Saccharomyces cerevisiae S288C: one gene and its partner. The protein of the gene in region 2 interacts with the protein of the main gene of each other region in a pairwise test. Each region holds a gene or a part of one and is shown on either strand. Other genes may lie near its edges.

Evidence for each region.
Region 1: the proteins of STE12 (region 2) and HMLALPHA1 interact in a two-hybrid assay, tested with the Saccharomyces cerevisiae proteins (one large-scale study listed by BioGRID).

Annotation. Positions count from the first base shown.
Region 1 is NC_001135.5:11,318-14,309, reverse strand, and holds HMLALPHA1 (transcriptional co-activator mating type protein alpha), read right to left. Parts: upstream 1,029-2,992; coding exon 501-1,028; downstream 1-500. Other genes in the region: HMLALPHA2 (homeodomain mating type protein alpha2), read left to right, coding at 1,292-1,924; YCL068C (uncharacterized protein), read left to right, coding at 2,025-2,807. UniProt on the Saccharomyces cerevisiae protein: Mating type proteins are sequence specific DNA-binding proteins that act as master switches in yeast differentiation by controlling gene expression in a cell type-specific fashion. Silenced copy of ALPHA1 at HML.
Region 2 is NC_001140.6:269,448-276,740, reverse strand, and holds STE12 (homeodomain family transcription factor STE12), read right to left. Parts: upstream 2,568-7,293; coding exon 501-2,567; downstream 1-500. Other genes in the region: SAM complex subunit SAM35, read right to left, coding at 3,125-4,114; putative serine/threonine protein kinase KSP1, read left to right, coding at 5,193-7,293. UniProt on the Saccharomyces cerevisiae protein: Binds to the DNA sequence mediating pheromone induction (called the pheromone response element = PRE) which is found in the upstream control region of several a-, alpha- and haploid-specific genes.

The sequences.
Region 1 (2,992 bases), on a different chromosome or scaffold from region 2:
TTTTTTGCTAAAACAACATTAGACCAAACTTACGATCTTTGGACCATGTTGATATATAGTTAATATTTGATCCAACTATGCGGGCTTGAAAATGAACAGTATCTTTTTTATGAAGTAGCTTTCGGATGGCACAAGGAACACGCATTTTCCCAAGGCTTAGTATACACATCCTTAAATACGAAAGTAAACATTAATGTTTGACTAAAATTAAGATTTGGTAAATACAGTATATAGACAATGCAATCGTACTAAAAACTAAATGGAACACAGAAAAGAGCAGTGAAAGATTTCTTTGATTGTTTGCTTGAGTCTGAGTAATATCATATTTTATACAAATACATAGACATAAACAAAAGAGGCAAGTAGATAAGGGTATAGCCATATGAGTGTATAAACAAACATTGGGAACAAGAGCAAGACGATGGGGAGTTTCAAATAGGATAGCTATACTGACAACATTCAGTACTCGAAAGATAAACAACCTCCGCCACGACCACACTCTATAAGGCCAAATGTACAAACACATCTTCCCAATATCCGTCACCACGTACTTCAGCATAATTATTCGTCAACCACTCTACAAAACCAAAACCAGGGTTTATAAAATTATACTGTTGCGCGAAGTAGTCCCATATTCCGTGCTGCATTTTGTCCGCGTGCCATTCTTCAGCGAGCAGAGAAGACAAGACATTTTGTTTTACACCGGAGCCAAACTGTGAGTAATATGCTCTAAAAGCCATAAATGAGTTTAAATATTTCTTTGAAGATTTTATAGATGTCTTATTGAACTGTCGAAACTGAGTATTTTGACTTCCAGACGCTATCCTGTGAATTTGGATTTTATTTAAAAATCGAGAGGAAGGAACAGGAATCTGGATATCTTTCTTGAGTGGTCGAATAATATTGAAGCAGCTTGGCCTCACATGCTCAGCTAGACGTTTTTCTTTCAGCTTTTTTGAAACCGCTGTGTTTCTGTATGATTTGGATGCTTTGTTCTTAATTTTGAAAGCAGGCTTCGAAGTAAACATATTGTGAATGTCGTCTATTAAGTTATTATATATGGTTGATACATTTCATAAAAAGTGAAGGTTAAAAGAAGTAGTTAAGAGTTTAAGTTGTTTCATATGATGTACTTTTCTACATTGGGAAGCAATAAATTGCATCCCAAACAAAACCCAGACATCATTAATGTTTTGAAACATAAAATGTTGGAACTTAAAAATATATATAAAGGAGAGATTGAAATCAGCTTAGAAGTGGGCAAGAAAAAAAGGAAGATAAGCAAGAAAAAATGAATAAAATACCCATTAAAGACCTTTTAAATCCACAAATCACAGATGAGTTTAAATCCAGCATACTAGACATAAATAAAAAGCTCTTTTCTATTTGCTGTAATTTACCTAAGTTACCAGAGAGTGTAACAACAGAAGAAGAAGTTGAATTAAGGGATATATTAGGATTCTTATCTAGGGCCAACAAAAACCGTAAGATTAGTGATGAGGAGAAGAAGTTGTTGCAAACAACATCTCAACTCACTACTACCATTACTGTATTACTCAAAGAAATGCGCAGCATAGAAAACGATAGAAGTAATTATCAACTTACACAGAAAAATAAATCGGCGGATGGGTTGGTATTTAATGTGGTAACTCAAGATATGATAAACAAAAGTACTAAACCTTACAGAGGACACCGGTTTACAAAAGAAAATGTCCGAATACTAGAAAGTTGGTTTGCAAAGAACATCGAGAACCCATATCTAGATACCAAGGGCCTAGAGAATCTAATGAAGAATACCAGTTTATCTCGCATTCAAATCAAAAACTGGGTTTCGAATAGAAGAAGAAAAGAAAAAACAATAACAATCGCTCCAGAATTAGCGGACCTCTTGAGCGGTGAGCCTCTGGCAAAGAAGAAAGAATGAGCCCGAAAAACAAATATGTATATATCTGTGTAGAATATATATATATATATATTTCGCAAAAATACATAAACAATCAACCCTCTCCTCAGACACTACTAAGATGTTTGTACTGATAGATAATGTCCTCGCCTACCTTCTTGAACAAGACGACCTATTTGTAACCGCACGCTTCGCTATCCAGGGCCAAATTGTCTCAAGAAGAGTTAACAAAATACATATCTCCAACATCACAGACGTCCTTCTACAACAATTCATAAGTCACACACTGCCCTATAATGACAATATCGTCCCAAAAAAAATCCTCGACAGCATGAGAACGGCCGTACGGCAGTTGCTGGAAGCAACTGCCTGTGTCTCTAGAGAATGCCCCCTCGTCAAAAGAAGTCAGGACATAAAAAGAGCAAGAAAACGTCTACTCAGTGACTGGTATAGGCTCGGCGCTGATGCAAACATGGATGCCGTATTACTAGTTGTTAACTCCGCCTGGAGGTTTCTGGCCGTCTGGCGACCCTTCGTAAACTCAATCCAACATGCAACTCAGGAATTGTATCAAAATATCGCCCATTACCTTCTTCATGGCAACGTAAATATACAGAGGGTCACAGCACTACTACAGCTCGTAATGGGACAGGACGATTTACTTTTTAGTATGGATGATGTTCTACAAGAGGTCTTCAGAATACAGCTCTATTTGAATAAGATGCTGCCGCACAACTCTCACAAATGGCAAAAGCCATCCCCCTTTGACTCCGCAAACTTACTACTTAACTTCAGAGACTGGACAACTGACAATGCTCTCCTCCAAGAGTTGCTACTATCCTATCCCACAATTAATAAAAACAAACACAAAAATCACTCCGTCCCTCGTCTAATACAAGTTTGAATGACGATTTTTCTGAAATCTTTGTTTACATTTCATTCTATGTGCGCTAGATATAAAAATCTTATTGTGAAAGGTGTTTGAATCAATTTGAAAAAATGTAGGTTGAATTTGGTTAGATTTGGCCCCCGAAATCGATAATAATGGCCAAATACTAAGTACATTAATTAGTTAATTGTTCTTTCATT
Region 2 (7,293 bases):
ACCTTTTTCTTTTTTGATTACAACTTTTAACTATTATGAACATCGATGCCTTCACCTTATAATTAGGAATCTCGCTTTTTCTGGTGGAAAAATTTTCCGATGGCCTTTGCCATTCTGAAAAATAAAAGGCAATACTACGTTGGTATCAAAATAGTGGATAAACACATATTGTAATACTAAGCGATCATGTAGTTTTGGAGGTCATGTTAAGAAACTCATTGATATTTATATTACATACTGTGACGCTAGATAAATCACATATATAAAGGTATTATATTATATTATCTTTTTCTTTTTTTTTTTTTGTTATTTTCTAACGTTAATAGATTTGTTACATTTATTACCTTTTTTTCTTGCTTTTTGTTTGCTCTAGTCTTGTATAAGATTGTTTTATTTATAAAAACAGATTGTCCTTGTTGTTTTCTTCTGAGTATTGTTTAATATTAAATTCTGGCCCGCATTTTTAATTCTTGTATCATAAATTCAAAAATTATATTATATCAGGTTGCATCTGGAAGGTTTTTATCGGACCTTCGATTGGTATCTACCTCAAGTGAATGAGCTCCACCTTCTTCTGACTGGACCACCAAAGTATTGGAATCCGGAGTAGGCATCGAAATTTCTTTGTTCTTATCAGGATGAGCAGAATCTTCGTCACCAGCACTTGGCCTGGCTTTCGTTTCCAAGTTGATTTTGTATTGCTTCTGATAAGCACTTGTCTTAATATGTAGAGGCTTTGAAATTTTTGCAGACTTGCCCACAGATTGTTTATTACCTGTTGGAACATTTCCTTGTGAAGACTTCATTCCCACAGTTCTTCGCCGTGGGTATTGATTTATATTTTGAGAATAAAATGTGCTAGGAGGATAGTTTTTAGCAGTTGTAGATGGTGCTCTCGAACTATAAGGTGAAACAGCAGTGTTCCACTGCATGGAATTTGAACTTTGCATGTATGGGAACATCGCGGAACCTGGTGTCGATCTATAATTCGGTGTGTATGGTCTCCCAACATAGGTTGGAGCTGGTTGCATAGCTTGAGGGGGCAAAACATTCCATGAAGTTGCAGTTTGTGGATACAGCATATTGTTATCACATCCTTCTGGTGGAAAGAAAAAATCGTCCGCGCCATAAAAGGCTTGATCGAGTAGAGGATCCCCCCCCATGGGATTATACGGCATTTTTGGGTAGTATCCTGGAACCATTCCGTTTGGGTAAGATTGCTGGAAGTTGTTAGAATATAATTGGTGTTGTTTAGTTTGCTGGCCAGAGTTGTGAGATTTTGCATTTGTACAGTTTTCATTTGGCCGAGATTCATCAAAATCCATAACTGGTTCGTCATACTTCATGTAGCTGGTAGGGTCGCTAGGAGATACCAATTTTTCCTTGTTATTGTTAGATGAATAAAAATCCCGATTTGTCATAAAATGTTGCCTCGATGATGATGGTGGCACTGGGAAAGTGGGTGCCACTGATAACTGATAGGGGTATCTATTAAGAAGAGAATTAACGGGCATAGAATCCCTTTCATTCACGTTATCATAGGAAATAGGCATGGAAGGGGCAGCTGGCGTAAAAGCCTGTGGAGGGAACGGATCAAACGCATTTTCCTCCGTAGGGTATTCAACAGATACAGGAAAATAGTCGAGAGGAAAATCTTCTTCGTCTCTGCCCTTAGCGGTATTCTTGGGTAAGTCATGAGGCGTTTCTTCTGTGAGACCATTCAATTCGAGAGTATTGGGTTCTATAATCAATTTCTGAGGAATAAAATCATTAATTTGAGAGGGGGATTCTGGCGCATCGTCATCCATGAGGCCAACGCCTAAAAGCGGCTGATTAGTTACTGTTACCAACTCATTATCCTTAAAATTCTCGCTTTCTAATTTTGGAGGCGAATTATCTGATTTTGTTGTACTAGATGGTCTTCTAGAATCTAAATGTTGAAGTAACTGATCGTAGAGAGGCTTATCAGATGAGGAATCATATGAAAAAGATAAGGCGGGCTCATTAACGGGCTTAGTCGTTGAAGGCTGATTCAAACTTTCTCTTTTTAAATCTCTTTCCAACGCATCCGCAAACAACTTATCATGTGCTACACTGAACCAAAAAAATACTTTCTGCTTTTTTTGGGTTTTCAGACACATATTTCTGAATAGAAACGACAAAAATTCGGACTTTGGTTGTTCTAAAGTTGCATCTATACCACATTTGAGATTTCTTAAATCTGAAAAAATACCCTCTTCAAATTTTTTCTTTTGAACTACTTCTCTCCCAAACTTTTGCATTCTGTAAAGACAACATTTGACAATATCAGTACCTGTAATATAGTATAGATTGTTCCAAAATACACAAGAGACAAAGCCTTGTCCACTATTCAGATAGTATCGCCTTATAATTTGGTTTTCTTGCCAATTTACCGGCGCTGTGGCTAAAAAGAATTTTAGATCGCCGATTAACCTTAGCGATTCTTCAACTTCGCCCGGAGTAGCTTTACTGACTTCATCGTTTTCATTATTAGCTTGAACTTTTAAGATTTCCTCTGTTCTACTATTGGTTATTTGGACTTTCATCCTTGGTGAACAAGACAATTCAAATAAAGAAAGCGGTTCCGCTATAAAAGTGTGTTTTCTTCGACGAGTCTTGTTTGAGAAATATCAATATCCACTCTAGGTCTCGCTTGGGACACTTATAAAACAAGTCTTCAGTGCTTACCTGTTATCTTTTCCTATTTTATGAATGGCACGAACGTCTCAAAAAAGTCAACTAAAAAGAAGTAATCTAATTGTAAAAGGAACGTAGTGGTACTATGTGCGAGAAAACTAGCGTACGAGTACTTCGATTTATGGTGTCGAGACCTGACCGCGAAGAGTTGTTCAATCTTTTTTAGGCTGTTTTGTATTAGTTTTGATATATCTTAAGATGTTGCAAATTCGTTTCTTTTAAAACAATTTTTATCTGTTTCACTTTTTCTATTGAGACGAAAACGGACAACGGCGTTTGTTTCATTTTGAAACGAGCTCTCCGAAAAGAAATGCTGTGTTTCAAATTATGCAACACTCTAGAGTTCATATATTTATACACACGAAAACTTCATCTATATCGTTTACATACTACAGCTTGAAAGTGATTACTGAACGAAGTTCTTCAGGGTGTCTTGTGCAAACTGGACCAATTCTTTACATTCGTTTTCAACAAATGTCTTTAGCTTTATGGGTTCCTTAACGTTCGTTATACAAAGAATGTAACTTGCAATTTTCAGATGTAAGTAAGTGGGTTGCCCGTCGCTTTTCAACATATCTTTTAAACCTAAAAGAACTTGCTTGCTATTCTCGAACAAAACGTTCAAGACCTGCTCTTGATTAACGGAGTTGTGATGGTTGTGATAAACTCCTTGCATACTCTTGACGATTTCTCGATGGCGGAACTGGAACTTGTTCCGCTTTGTTAGGGATATCTTCAAACTCTTTGCGGACAACTTCTGTAATAAAGAGTTTTCTACGTCCAATGGAGTGACTATCGAACCACTTAACTTCTGGCAAGAGTACAATTCCATGAATTGCGCATCTGAGGCACAGAAAATTATTTGCGTGATCCAACAATCGTACAGCACGGTATCCAGCAACGTATAGTACATCAACTGCTCAGCATCATCAAGTATCCGAGACCTCATAATTTCGCTGATTGCCACGGTGGATCTTATAATTCTCTTCTTGTAACCCTCAACTAGAATAGGTAGGGCCTCATCGGGGTTAGAAAGACGGGACAGAACGAGCATTTCATGGTTACAGGTATGCGATGGGGTTTGTTCCTGCGAGTGCGTGGGTAAGACTAGACCATTCTTTTGACACAGCGCAAGCTGAACAAACAGACACCATGGATCTGTGGCCAATGCCGCCCCTGTATTTGCCTCCAAAAAAACGTTGTAAACACCTAGCTTGTACGTCCCCTCCACAGTCAACTCAGAGCTTCCACCACCGCGTTCTGTGAATGTGTAGGACCTCCGCTGTATTTCTAATGCAACGGCCTCGTCCTTGTCAGTCTGCGCAGCATATGTTTGTAACGGAAATGTGTCAAATATCCGTTTTACTGGCATGGGAACACTGAATGAACTTACCATTGTGCACGATGGCTTCGTTTTAGCCCTATATGAGACGACATACAAGAGGCCTTCACACCATTTATTTCAGCATTCACTTCTAAATATCGTCCCGTTACCCTCATCGCTACTGCCGGGCGTTCCCAACCCCTTCCGAGGCAGATTATATTTATTTATCTTTTTAACAATTTGTCCCTATATAGGCGGGCCGAACACAGCACGTGAAAGAACTCTCAGGCTTCCACAACAGGCCATATCAAGTCCACACTTCCCTCATTACTAGCATTTTTACACAAGCAGTCCACGCATTCCGCAACAGTGTTCACCTTTCTTTTCCCTAACTTATCTTATTATTTGTTTGTTGATCGCAAACAGACCCTTTTTTTTGGTGAGCGCATTTTACACAGTCTCAAGTGTCCTCTACTATAAAAATACAACCTCAAACAGTACTTACTGGCGTCCGCAGAATATTACTGCACTCTCAATCTGTAAAGAATATAACAAGTGACCCATTCCCTTGTTTTATTCAACTTCGAAATCTCTCTGGCTATCTTTGCATGCTTATCTAACTTTCACGTGACCCGGATATTGTTCTCTGCTCAAAAAAGAACTGCAAAGAAGGAAATAGAAAAATAGCATACAGGCTCAAAGCTATAGTTTTCTGAAAAGGGACACCACGAATACAGTAGTATCAAAGAGAAAAAAGACTTCTTTATACTTACAGAAGGTTCATTTTCTGATTCTACTCTTCCAATCTAGTGTCGCAAAAAAACAAAACTTACTGGTATTAGCTGGCAAAAAAAAAAAGAATAGGTTATAATTAAAGACATCTTTTCTCTATAAATTTTTTCTTAGAAGAAAAAGCCAAAAAAAAAAAACCTGCTTCATACCCGCCATCAAATCTTATAGGCCTTATAGACTGCATATTACCGGATTCTTTCTCTCCGTTAACCCTACTATTCTTTCACTATACTTTAACCTAAAATAAAAAAGGAAAAAAAAAATTAAAAACTTCCAAAAACTTAGAAATTTCAAATACAAAACAAAAAGACACGTAAAGTTAGTGCAATATTTTTTTCTTACAATTTTTTGAAACTCGATGACTTTAGATTACGAGATTTACAAAGAAGGAGGTATTTTGAATAATCGATATCAAAAAATAGAGGATATCAGTGAAGGTTCATATGGTTATGTATCATTGGCTAAAGATGTTAGAGAGAAAAGATTGGTTGCAGTCAAATACATTTTCAAATTAGAAGATGACGGCCAGTACGATGGGCCTCAGGACGACGAAAATGATTGTGATAGTAGCGATTGTGATGATGATGAAGACACGAAAGTTGATACGGATCGCCATGAAAATGAAAATGGTAATGCCTCCAGTAATAACGGGTCAAGTAGAGAGAAGAAACACAATCTCTACAAACACAAAAAGTCCCTAATTTCTTCGAAAGTTAAATCAAGACTATCTAATAACATTTGTCTCGAAGCCATGTATGAAGTTGATATTCAAACAAAAATTGGTAGACACCAAAATATTGCTGCTCTATTAGATTTCTTCGACTCTTACATCATCATGGAATATTGCTCTGGCGGTGACCTATATGAGGCGATCAAAGCCGATGCTGTGCCTAAGAAAACCAAATCGATCACTCATATTATCACACAAATCATGGATGCAATTGAATATGTTCATAACAAGGGCATTTATCATCGTGATATAAAACCTGAGAACATTTTAATTTCTGGAATTGATTGGACAATTAAGCTTACAGATTGGGGATTGGCTACTACAGATAAGACGTCTATGGATAGAAATGTCGGTAGTGAAAGATATATGTCCCCTGAACTTTTTGATAGTAATTTGGATATCAAGGAAAGAAAGGAACCTTATGACTGTGCCAAAGTGGATTTATGGGCTATGGGAATTGTGTTTCTTAATATTGTTTTCCATAAGAATCCTTTTAGTATTGCCAATCAATCCGACAAGTCATTCTGTTATTTTGCTGCTAATAGAGAAGCGTTGTTTGATGTATTTTCGACAATGGCTTATGATTTCTTTCAAGTATTAAGGTATAGTTTAACCATCGATCCGGCTAATAGAGACTTGAAAATGATGAGAACTGAACTACAGAACTTATCTGAGTATACATTAGACGATGAATACTATAATAACTTGGATGAAGGATATGAAGAAACTATGATTGACGGTTTGCCACCTCAGCCTGTTCCTCCATCTTCAGCACCGGTATCATTACCTACTCCTATTTCATCTAGTAACAAACAACATATGCCTGAATTTAAAAAGGATTTCAATTTCAATAATGTGAATGAAAGGAAACGGTCAGATGTCTCTCAAAATCAAAATGTTGCAAGCGGCTTCTTTAAAAAACCGTCTACACAACAACAGAAATTTTTCAACCAGGGTTATAATACAACACTATCTACTCATGAAAGGGCTAAATCTGCTCCTAAGTTCAAATTTAAGAAGCGCAATAAGTACGGAAGAACTGATAATCAATTTTCCAAACCAGTCAATATCGAAGATAGAAAGAAAAGTAAAATTTTGAAAAAATCAAGGAAGCCTCTTGGCATACCAACGCCTAATACACACATGAATAATTTTTTCCACGATTACAAAGCAAGGGATGAATTCAACACCAGAGATTTTTTCACTCCTCCAAGTGTCCAGCACAGGTATATGGAGGGGTTTTCCAACAACAACAATAAACAGTACAGACAGAATCGTAATTACAACAATAATAACAACAACAGCAATAACAATCATGGAAGTAATTATAATAATTTTAACAATGGTAATAGCTATATAAAGGGTTGGAACAAAAACTTTAACAAATACAGAAGACCAAGTTCCTCCAGTTATACCGGTAAGTCACCACTTTCAAGGTACAACATGAGCTATAATCATAACAACAATAGTTCTATAAATGGTTATGCAAGGCGTGGTTCTACGACTACAGTTCAACATTCACCAGGCGCTTATATTCCACCAAATGCCAGGAACCATCACGTAAGCCCAACGAATCAGTTTTTAAGAGTTCCGCAATCAACTGCTCCTGATATCTCTACCGTTTTAGGTGGGAAGCCTTCATACCAGGAACACTACACTCAGGATAGTATGGATTCTGAGGGCGATCACGATTCAGACGACGTTTTATTCACTCTTGAAGAAGGTGATC